Linked DNA regions of Xenopus tropicalis. The protein of the gene in region 2 binds, or shares a complex with, the protein of the main gene of each other region. Links are inferred from orthologs where the notes say so. Each region holds a gene or a part of one and is shown on either strand. Other genes may lie near its edges.

What was found.
Region 1: the proteins of tnni3 (region 2) and tnnc1 are in contact, whole or in part, in a crystal structure (PDB 4Y99), measured with the Homo sapiens proteins. The link is inferred for Xenopus tropicalis from reciprocal best matches to the Homo sapiens genes TNNI3 and TNNC1. Residues at the interface, in NP_000354.4 of Homo sapiens: Glu32, Pro33, His34, Ala35, Lys36, Lys37, Lys38, Ser39, Lys40, Ile41, Ser42, Ala43, Ser44, Arg45, Lys46, Leu47, Gln48, Leu49, Lys50, Thr51, Leu52, Leu53, Leu54, Ile56, Ala57, Lys58, Glu60, Leu61, Glu64, Arg136; in NP_003271.1 of Homo sapiens: Asp3, Ile4, Lys6, Ala7, Glu10, Gln11, Thr13, Glu15, Gln16, Glu19, Phe20, Ala22, Ala23, Ile26, Phe27, Val44, Met45, Leu48, Gln50, Glu59, Met60, Glu63, Glu66, Asp67, Gly68, Asp73, Asp75, Glu76, Phe77, Met81.

The regions. Positions count from the first base shown.
Region 1 is NC_030680.2:128,885,009-128,888,763, reverse strand, and holds the start of tnnc1 (troponin C, slow skeletal and cardiac muscles), read right to left. Parts: upstream 2,550-3,755; 5' UTR 2,529-2,549; coding exon 2,505-2,528; intron 1-2,504. UniProt on the Homo sapiens protein: Troponin is the central regulatory protein of striated muscle contraction. Tn consists of three components: Tn-I which is the inhibitor of actomyosin ATPase, Tn-T which contains the binding site for tropomyosin and Tn-C.
Region 2 is NC_030683.2:104,548,474-104,552,228, reverse strand, and holds the start of tnni3 (troponin I, cardiac muscle), read right to left. Parts: upstream 2,704-3,755; 5' UTR 2,657-2,703; intron 1-2,656. UniProt on the Homo sapiens protein: Troponin I is the inhibitory subunit of troponin, the thin filament regulatory complex which confers calcium-sensitivity to striated muscle actomyosin ATPase activity.

The sequences.
Region 1 (3,755 bases), on a different chromosome or scaffold from region 2:
TAACGACTCTCTTTAGCCTATAACAATTTGCTGACACATGAAAGCATTTTTGTATTTGTTATAGTTAGTAAGACACCCCAAACCTTACTCTGACTGGCATCTAGGATACCAGCTCATTGGTCTGGGTCAGAACCTTGCCTTAGGTGGCAGGAAGCAGCCAGTTACTAGTGGTGGCAAAAAGCCACCTCTGGTAACTTTAAAAACAGAATTTTCATGTTTTAAAATGAAAATTCAGCTCTGCCAGTGCAGAGAGTGTAATAGCACTGCATACCAATGCAGCCCCACTAGACCCACTCTGCTGCTAGAATTGTAAGCATGGAATGAGAGAGAGGGGCGGCATTGGCCTCAGCTGGCAGCAGCCCCAAGATCATATATATAGTGGGCAGGTTAGAAAATTCAAGGCAATTTAGGGCAAATTAGTGCATTGGTGCAGCCAATCAGATCAGCCCAATTTGGCCTGGCATGTAAGTGACCAAATCAGACAGACAGATATGCTCATTTGGTGACCATGCCAGAAAGTACGTTAATAAGTGTACAGTCAGCTTAAGCCCAAATAGATATTTTCAATAAATCTTACCCTTGAAAAGACGGACAGAAAGACAGAGATATATGGATGCTCTGGTAGATGGAGGGGCAGTATTTAAACAAACAAATGAATATACAGATAGACAGGCAAAATGCCCATTATCCCTGTAGAGTTTGTATAGCCCCACCATAAAGTCAGTGTGTATGTGTGGGTCAGGGGGGCGTTGGAGTGCTGTGCATGCAGCTGGTATATGCAGGACAAGGAGAAGTGAAGGACAGTGAGTGTGAGTGCAATGTGGCTCATTCTCTGTAATATAATTACTGCAAAGTACCTGTACTTCCATCTAAATCTCCTGATATCTCCAATAGTAGGACACTGTACACTCCCCTTCAAACTCAACATTGCATTAGGGGCATTACATGGTACCAACTCTGCAAGAGGGTTCTATACATGATGAAACATGCTGTATATTATTTCATACTGGCCCATTGTAGACTATGCCTGGCTATGATTTTTCACACTCCTGTTCAGGTCTGGAATGGGATACAAAATAGGCACTGGCATTTCAAGTACACAGAAGCCCAAACAGCCCCCACCAGCCCAATAAATAGTGACTGTCTATGGCACCTTACAGCAGCCCCTCTGGCATTTCCCAGAATCTACAGATTGCCAGTCTGAGCCTGCCCCTGGTAATGAGCTCTAGGGATGCACTGAATCGAGGATTCGGTCCGGGATTCCACCAAAATTTGGAGTTTTTCAGCACAATTCAGATTTGGCCAAATCCATTTGCCAAATTCAAATCCTTAATATCATGTGACTTTTCATCACATAAAGATGAAGTTTTTAGGCACACTCTGTGAGCACGGTTCTCTTTGTCCCATCCCTAGCCTCATTTGACTATGGAAATTAGGATTTGGTTCGGGATTCGGCTGAAAATTTCATGAAGGATTCAGGGTTTAGCCAAGTCCCAAAATAGTAGATTCAGTGCATCCCTATTAATGACATTTGGTATTTCAATATCCTCCGACCATTAATATGCAGAATGCAGCTATATGGGAAAATGATGCTGCTACAGTTTCATTGGCCCCCTGTGCGTTTAGGCCAGTACCAGTACCCTGCGGGATGTTGTATAGGTCCTTACTGAGCCCTACAGACCTGCACAAATCCCTAGATGATGCTATGTTACATATGCTATATTATTCATTATCTAGCACACAATTAAACCTGTCATAAATCTCTATTCATCTGATTAAAATAAGGCATTTACAGTTTCTATTTCAGAGATGTCTTCCCTGTGTTACTGCAGATAATGTGTAAGTTTATACAGAAAATGATTTACCCCTAATTGTAAACTATCAGGATATTAAAAGACACCTAGGAGATCCATGACCATACAGATTATACAGGTCATGAAGTTCTGGGGGACATTATTATAACATACATGTTTCAGCCAGTCATGTGACACAAGTATCATCATTAAGCACTGTTTAAGAGAATACATTTTAAATGTTCATAGTTATACTGTACATTTCCATTTTACATGAATATATGCAGCAACTGACAATATTTCCCATAGACAGCAGTCAAACAGCAGCAGAATCTGATTTGGGATCTGAATCCCATTTGTAAATGAACATCCCCAGTAATGCAGCTGAAGGAGCTCTACAAAGTATAATAACAAGGTGATAGAATCCTTTAAAGTTATTGTGCTTTGACCATATGAGCAGTCATAATTCATTGTTAAAGGTAATTCCTGTAACAATATGGTCAGTGCACAGTGTACTTAGTATATTAATATTTACAGGAATCTCACCCTTCCTAAAACCAAGGGAACTGAACAAGTTGTATACAAATGCCGATCTATATTGCAACCCCTGCATCAGCACCAACCCAGAAGGAGCCCCAGGAGACGGGCTGATGAGCGAGCTTTCAGCTGTAAGGAGTAGGTTAAAGAGAATGCAGAAAGTTGAGCACATACCGCTGCTTTGTAAATATCATCCATTGTGAGTGATGCTGGTCAGGAGCCCAGGAGCCAATTGTGCAACACTGGTGACAGCTGATGGCTCAGTTTATATACCCCCCCCCCCCCCCCCCCCCGGCACTGTTTGCTCCTCCTGAGCCACACGTCAGCCTTCCCCTATCAATGGACACTTTCCAGGACATCCCCTTGGGAAGACAAAAGAGCCCACCTCATGGTTTCAAGTGCATTTATTTATATACCCAGCAGGAGCTGTGTGGCCAAAGATTTCCTTTTTCAGAGATGGAGGCCACAGGTTGGTACTAACATATTCAATAAGGGAAATATCATCACTTCAAAACCATTTTATTCTTTTGTACTGTATGCTGTCCATTTATTTCTATATTCTGAAATAACTGTCAGATACATAGGAGCTGTCCGACCTGCACCCTCCCTGCTGCTTTTCACAAAACAGAGAGCAAAAACCCTTTTCTATAGGATATTTTTCCTTTATTTCATATATATAACATTTCATGCTGTTCCTGGTACCAGCTGTCTGTGCTGCATCCTCACCCCCCGTCTTGGCTAAAAGATAAATTCACTGCACGACTGAAAAGAGTTCTTTAAAGAGTTCTAAATGTGTCAAAACAAACAAAATGCTGGAATTCATTCTCAGAGTTTAGAGGGAATGCCATATGTTTTCGCCTACAGAAACACTGCTACTACTGACAGGTGCTAAAGCAAGTGTCTCTGAGCCGAGGCTACTGGTCACCGCCAGCATGTTTCCCATAGCTTGCTAAAGGGAGCAGTGACAAGATTTTGTGTGTTGTGACTGACACTGTCCTATACTATAGGCTTAAAGTTCTAGGGAAGAAAAACAAAAACTAAAGTAAAATGAATATATTAAATTGTGTGAAAACTATAGGATAATACTATAGGCACCACCTCTCCCTACTATACCTGCTATCCCACAGCCCCAGTCCCTTCCCAGAGACTATTATCCCCACTGCTACTATAGGCACCATCTCTCCCTACTATACCTGCTATCCCACAGCCCCAGTCCCTTCCCAGAGGCTATTATCCCCACTGCTGCTATAGGCACCATCTCTTCCTACTATACCTGCTATCCCACAGCCCCAGTCCCTTCCCAGAGGCTATTATCCCCACTGCTGCTATAGGCACCATCTCTTCCTACTATACCTGCTATCCCACAGCCACAGTCCCTTCCCAGAGGCTATTATCCCCCACTGCTACTATAGGCACCATCTCTCC
Region 2 (3,755 bases):
CATGAGCAGACCTACATTAATTATAGTTAAATAATATAAGTATAGCCCTTCCCCCCAGTGCCTTATGTCCCCTAGCACTTGGCTGACTTTTGGGTTCTGAATCTAGGGGTGTCCCAAGGGACAGTGCTAGGACTCTTTTCTGGCCATTCCGCAGCATTTATAGAGATGGATGCTGCCAAGTAGGTGAAAGCTTGGGGGTGCCCAGGAAAGAGCACCAAAACATGGAATGCATAGCAAAGTGCCATTTTTGCACATGGGCATAACTATAGAAAAAGCAACGTAGGAGGCAAGAAAGCCACATGAGACCATCATTCATGAGCAATTTTTAGGCATACAGCTTCAGGAAGTTTTGGATTGCCCTTAAATGAATTGGCTGTGGAGCCCAGTAACATCTTGTTATGCCAGTATTTTATACAGGCACTTTTGCAGTTAAGTGTGCAAGATTTCAGCCGCCTCCATGTGCTCCATGTGTATTTGGCCTGTGAGGACTGGGAGCAACTAAAGGACCACATTATAGATACGAAGACTGCAGAGTGGTTTACTGAGCTGCTTCTGGGAAACATGGTGGGGGAAACTATTTGTGGTGCACTGCTTGAAAAAAAAAAAAAGTACAAACTGTGAAGTTGCACTTGCCCCATTAATATTCCTCAGTTTAACCACTGGCTAAAACTATAGCTTTCCGATACTCTATGAACAAAGATGAATGAAGTATTTTCCCCTAGAATGAACAATATTATGGGGTCTGTGAGCCCAGCCGCAGTGTATAATGACTGGACGGCTCCCTTTCCAAACATGCAGTTCACCATTTAGGCACTAGATGGAACCCGGGTACCAGAGATTTACCTATTTACACTGCCTTGCATGAAACAATAAAGGTTCTAAGAGCTGTTGAATGAAGGAGAGCAAAATGTAAAAAAATCTGCGCAATTCAGCAGTTTATTTACCCACAGTGCAACTCTGCTTCCCATTTTTGACAGTAATGGTGCCAGACACATCATTTTGCACTGGTGAATCAAAGATTTGCACTGGTAAATTCTGCACAAATGGTACCAACTTGCATCAGCTAAGGAAGGAGCAGTACTTGGACCACTCCTTTGTGCTTCAGGCAAAGTGGGTCCTGTTCCTACTGCTTGGTATGGGCAGATGTTAGGTACAGGGATCCCTTGTGCCATACACTAGAGTGGGTGTAATTGGCAAAATGGGTGTATAGATGAGGGCAAGGGTTAAGCATGAGTGCATTGTGGCATTTTATGGAAGTGGGTTAAGGAAACAGAGCCCCAACTTTCTTGTATGGCCCCTATTCTAGTTCCTATACTATTTGCCTCCACACATTGGGAGCTGAGTGTATCTGGGTGGGTGCCACTGTGTAGAACCAATGTGGGAGGATGAAGGATAAGCTGTCTGTATAGCGATTGGTGGGAATAAGGGGAGAAACACTGAGAATATTTCCATTATTTAAGAAGTGGCTCAGTGTGAGTGGTACCCAAGTCCTATTAATAAGGAAAGGCACAGAGTCAGCATTAAACAGCCGAACCATATCACTGAGCAATGTGGGCACGGTGTGTTCTGCTATGGATCTGCCGATACACAGGCTCGTAGCCCTTCTGTCTGCGCAGGATGCCAGAGCCCAGACGGATAGACAGGCATTAAAATGGCACCCCAATACTAAGGGCACATTGTTGACAAAGCAACATTTTAGTTGTTCCTGCTGTCACTCAGGCTCCCCAGTACCCATCCAATGATGCCAACAGGCAGGCCTGAGGTCTAACCATGGATGCAGCCAGTGAGCTGTTGTGCAAAATTTGGTGAATATCCCCATACCAACCCCAGCATCCGCAGTGACCACCTTCTAACATAATAACACAATAAATATATAGTAATATAGCATTAAATGCTCGCTAGGCCTGTAGGCTGTAACCCAGATCCTGGATTCCTGTCTCAGCCCCTTGTGGCCACGTGCAGATTGTTTATTCCCTGAAATTAGATTGTAAGCTCTGGGACTGGCCCCTTTCCAGGCGAGAGTGACGGTATGGCTGTGTATGTAATTGTGTATCCTGTTACAATTGTTACGACTCATACAATTAGAATAAAGCCTATTGCTTGAGGATGCCATATATACATCATTATAGTTATAGCAGGAGTCAGACAGTGATAGGCACCTTTATATAACATAACCTTGCTACCTGACTATTACATACCCTAGTACCATCCCCTGAAATACCCTGGCACGTTCCCTTCTAATGCCTCTAACTGAAAGGTTGTGCCAAGGAGGAGGGCTGCTCCCTGGTACTTTTGGGTGAATTAATGACCTTCTATAATAATCTCCTGACCAACCAAGGCAATTCAATGCCAACTGCCACCCCAGGAGTCCCAACAACCCAAATGGTCTAAAATTGCCAAATCTTTTTTTTTAATGATAAATATAGATAGACAGTTAGCTATCAGACAAGGTAAGTAATGGAATATGGCATATCAGTAGTCAGTAGTTATGCATACAACTGTATGCCTAATATGAAAGTCAATCCCTCCTGCTGCTGCTGCTGAAGCTCCCAGTAGCTAAGATAGGTTATAGTTCAGCAAGAGCAGGAAGTGCTGGTGAGAAGGGAAGATTACCCCCAGCCCATACATGCCAGTGATCCCTGCCATCCCTGCTTACCTTTAGCTGCTTTCTGGATAATGGGGGATGAGCGAGGGACTCAAGAGAGCGTTGGGACTAAAAGAAAGGCAAATAGCTGAAATGTTATAAAGGGGAGAGGAGCGGACTATTCCATGTAAGGTATTGAGCAGGGAGAAGGCAGAAACAAAGCCTGTCCTATCTGACTGCCACTTTGCTTATCACACTTCTATGTGCCAGACATTCCTCAGCCTACCCAAGCTCCTATTACCTTACACACAAAGCCTGCATGCATTATAGGTCATTTTGTTCTACAGTAATGGCATATTATTCTATAGAAAGGCCTAATTATTCTGCATTTGAGGCCTCATTATAGTGCTTTATAAGTCATGTTATTCTATAGCAGGGCTATATTATAGTGCATTATAGGTCATATTAGGGTATATTAAACTACATTAGTGATGAGCAAATTTTTTCGGCAGGCATGCATTTGATAGAAATTCTGCATTTTGCCAATGGCCAATTTTTGCTGTGTAACTACCATAAAAATTCGCCAACAGGAAAAAGTTGTGGTTACATCAAAAATTTTTTGCAAATTTCTTGTCTTTTTTTTCAACAGTTTTGCAAATTTTTTGGCAAAGCGAAATGGGACAGATTTGCTCATCCCTAAACTACATTATAATAAATATTAAACTGCATTATAGCCCATATTATTCTATAGTAAGGACAGATTATACTGCGAAATGGGACAGATTTGCTTATCACTAAACTACATTATAGACCATATTATATTGCATTATAGAGCATATTATATGATATTATAAGCCATATTATACTGCATTATAGGGCATATTATACTGCATTATAGGGCATATTATACTGCATTATAGGGCATATCATTCTGCATTATAGGGCATATCATTCTGCATTATAGGGCATATCATTCTGCATTATAGGGCATATCATTCTGCATTATAGGGCATATTATACTGCATTATAGGGCATATCATTCTGCATTATAGGGCATATCATTCTGCATTATAGGGCATATCATTCTGCATTATAGGGCATATTATTCTGCATTATGGGCCATATTATTCTGCATTATAGGGCATATTATACTGTATTATAGGGCATATCA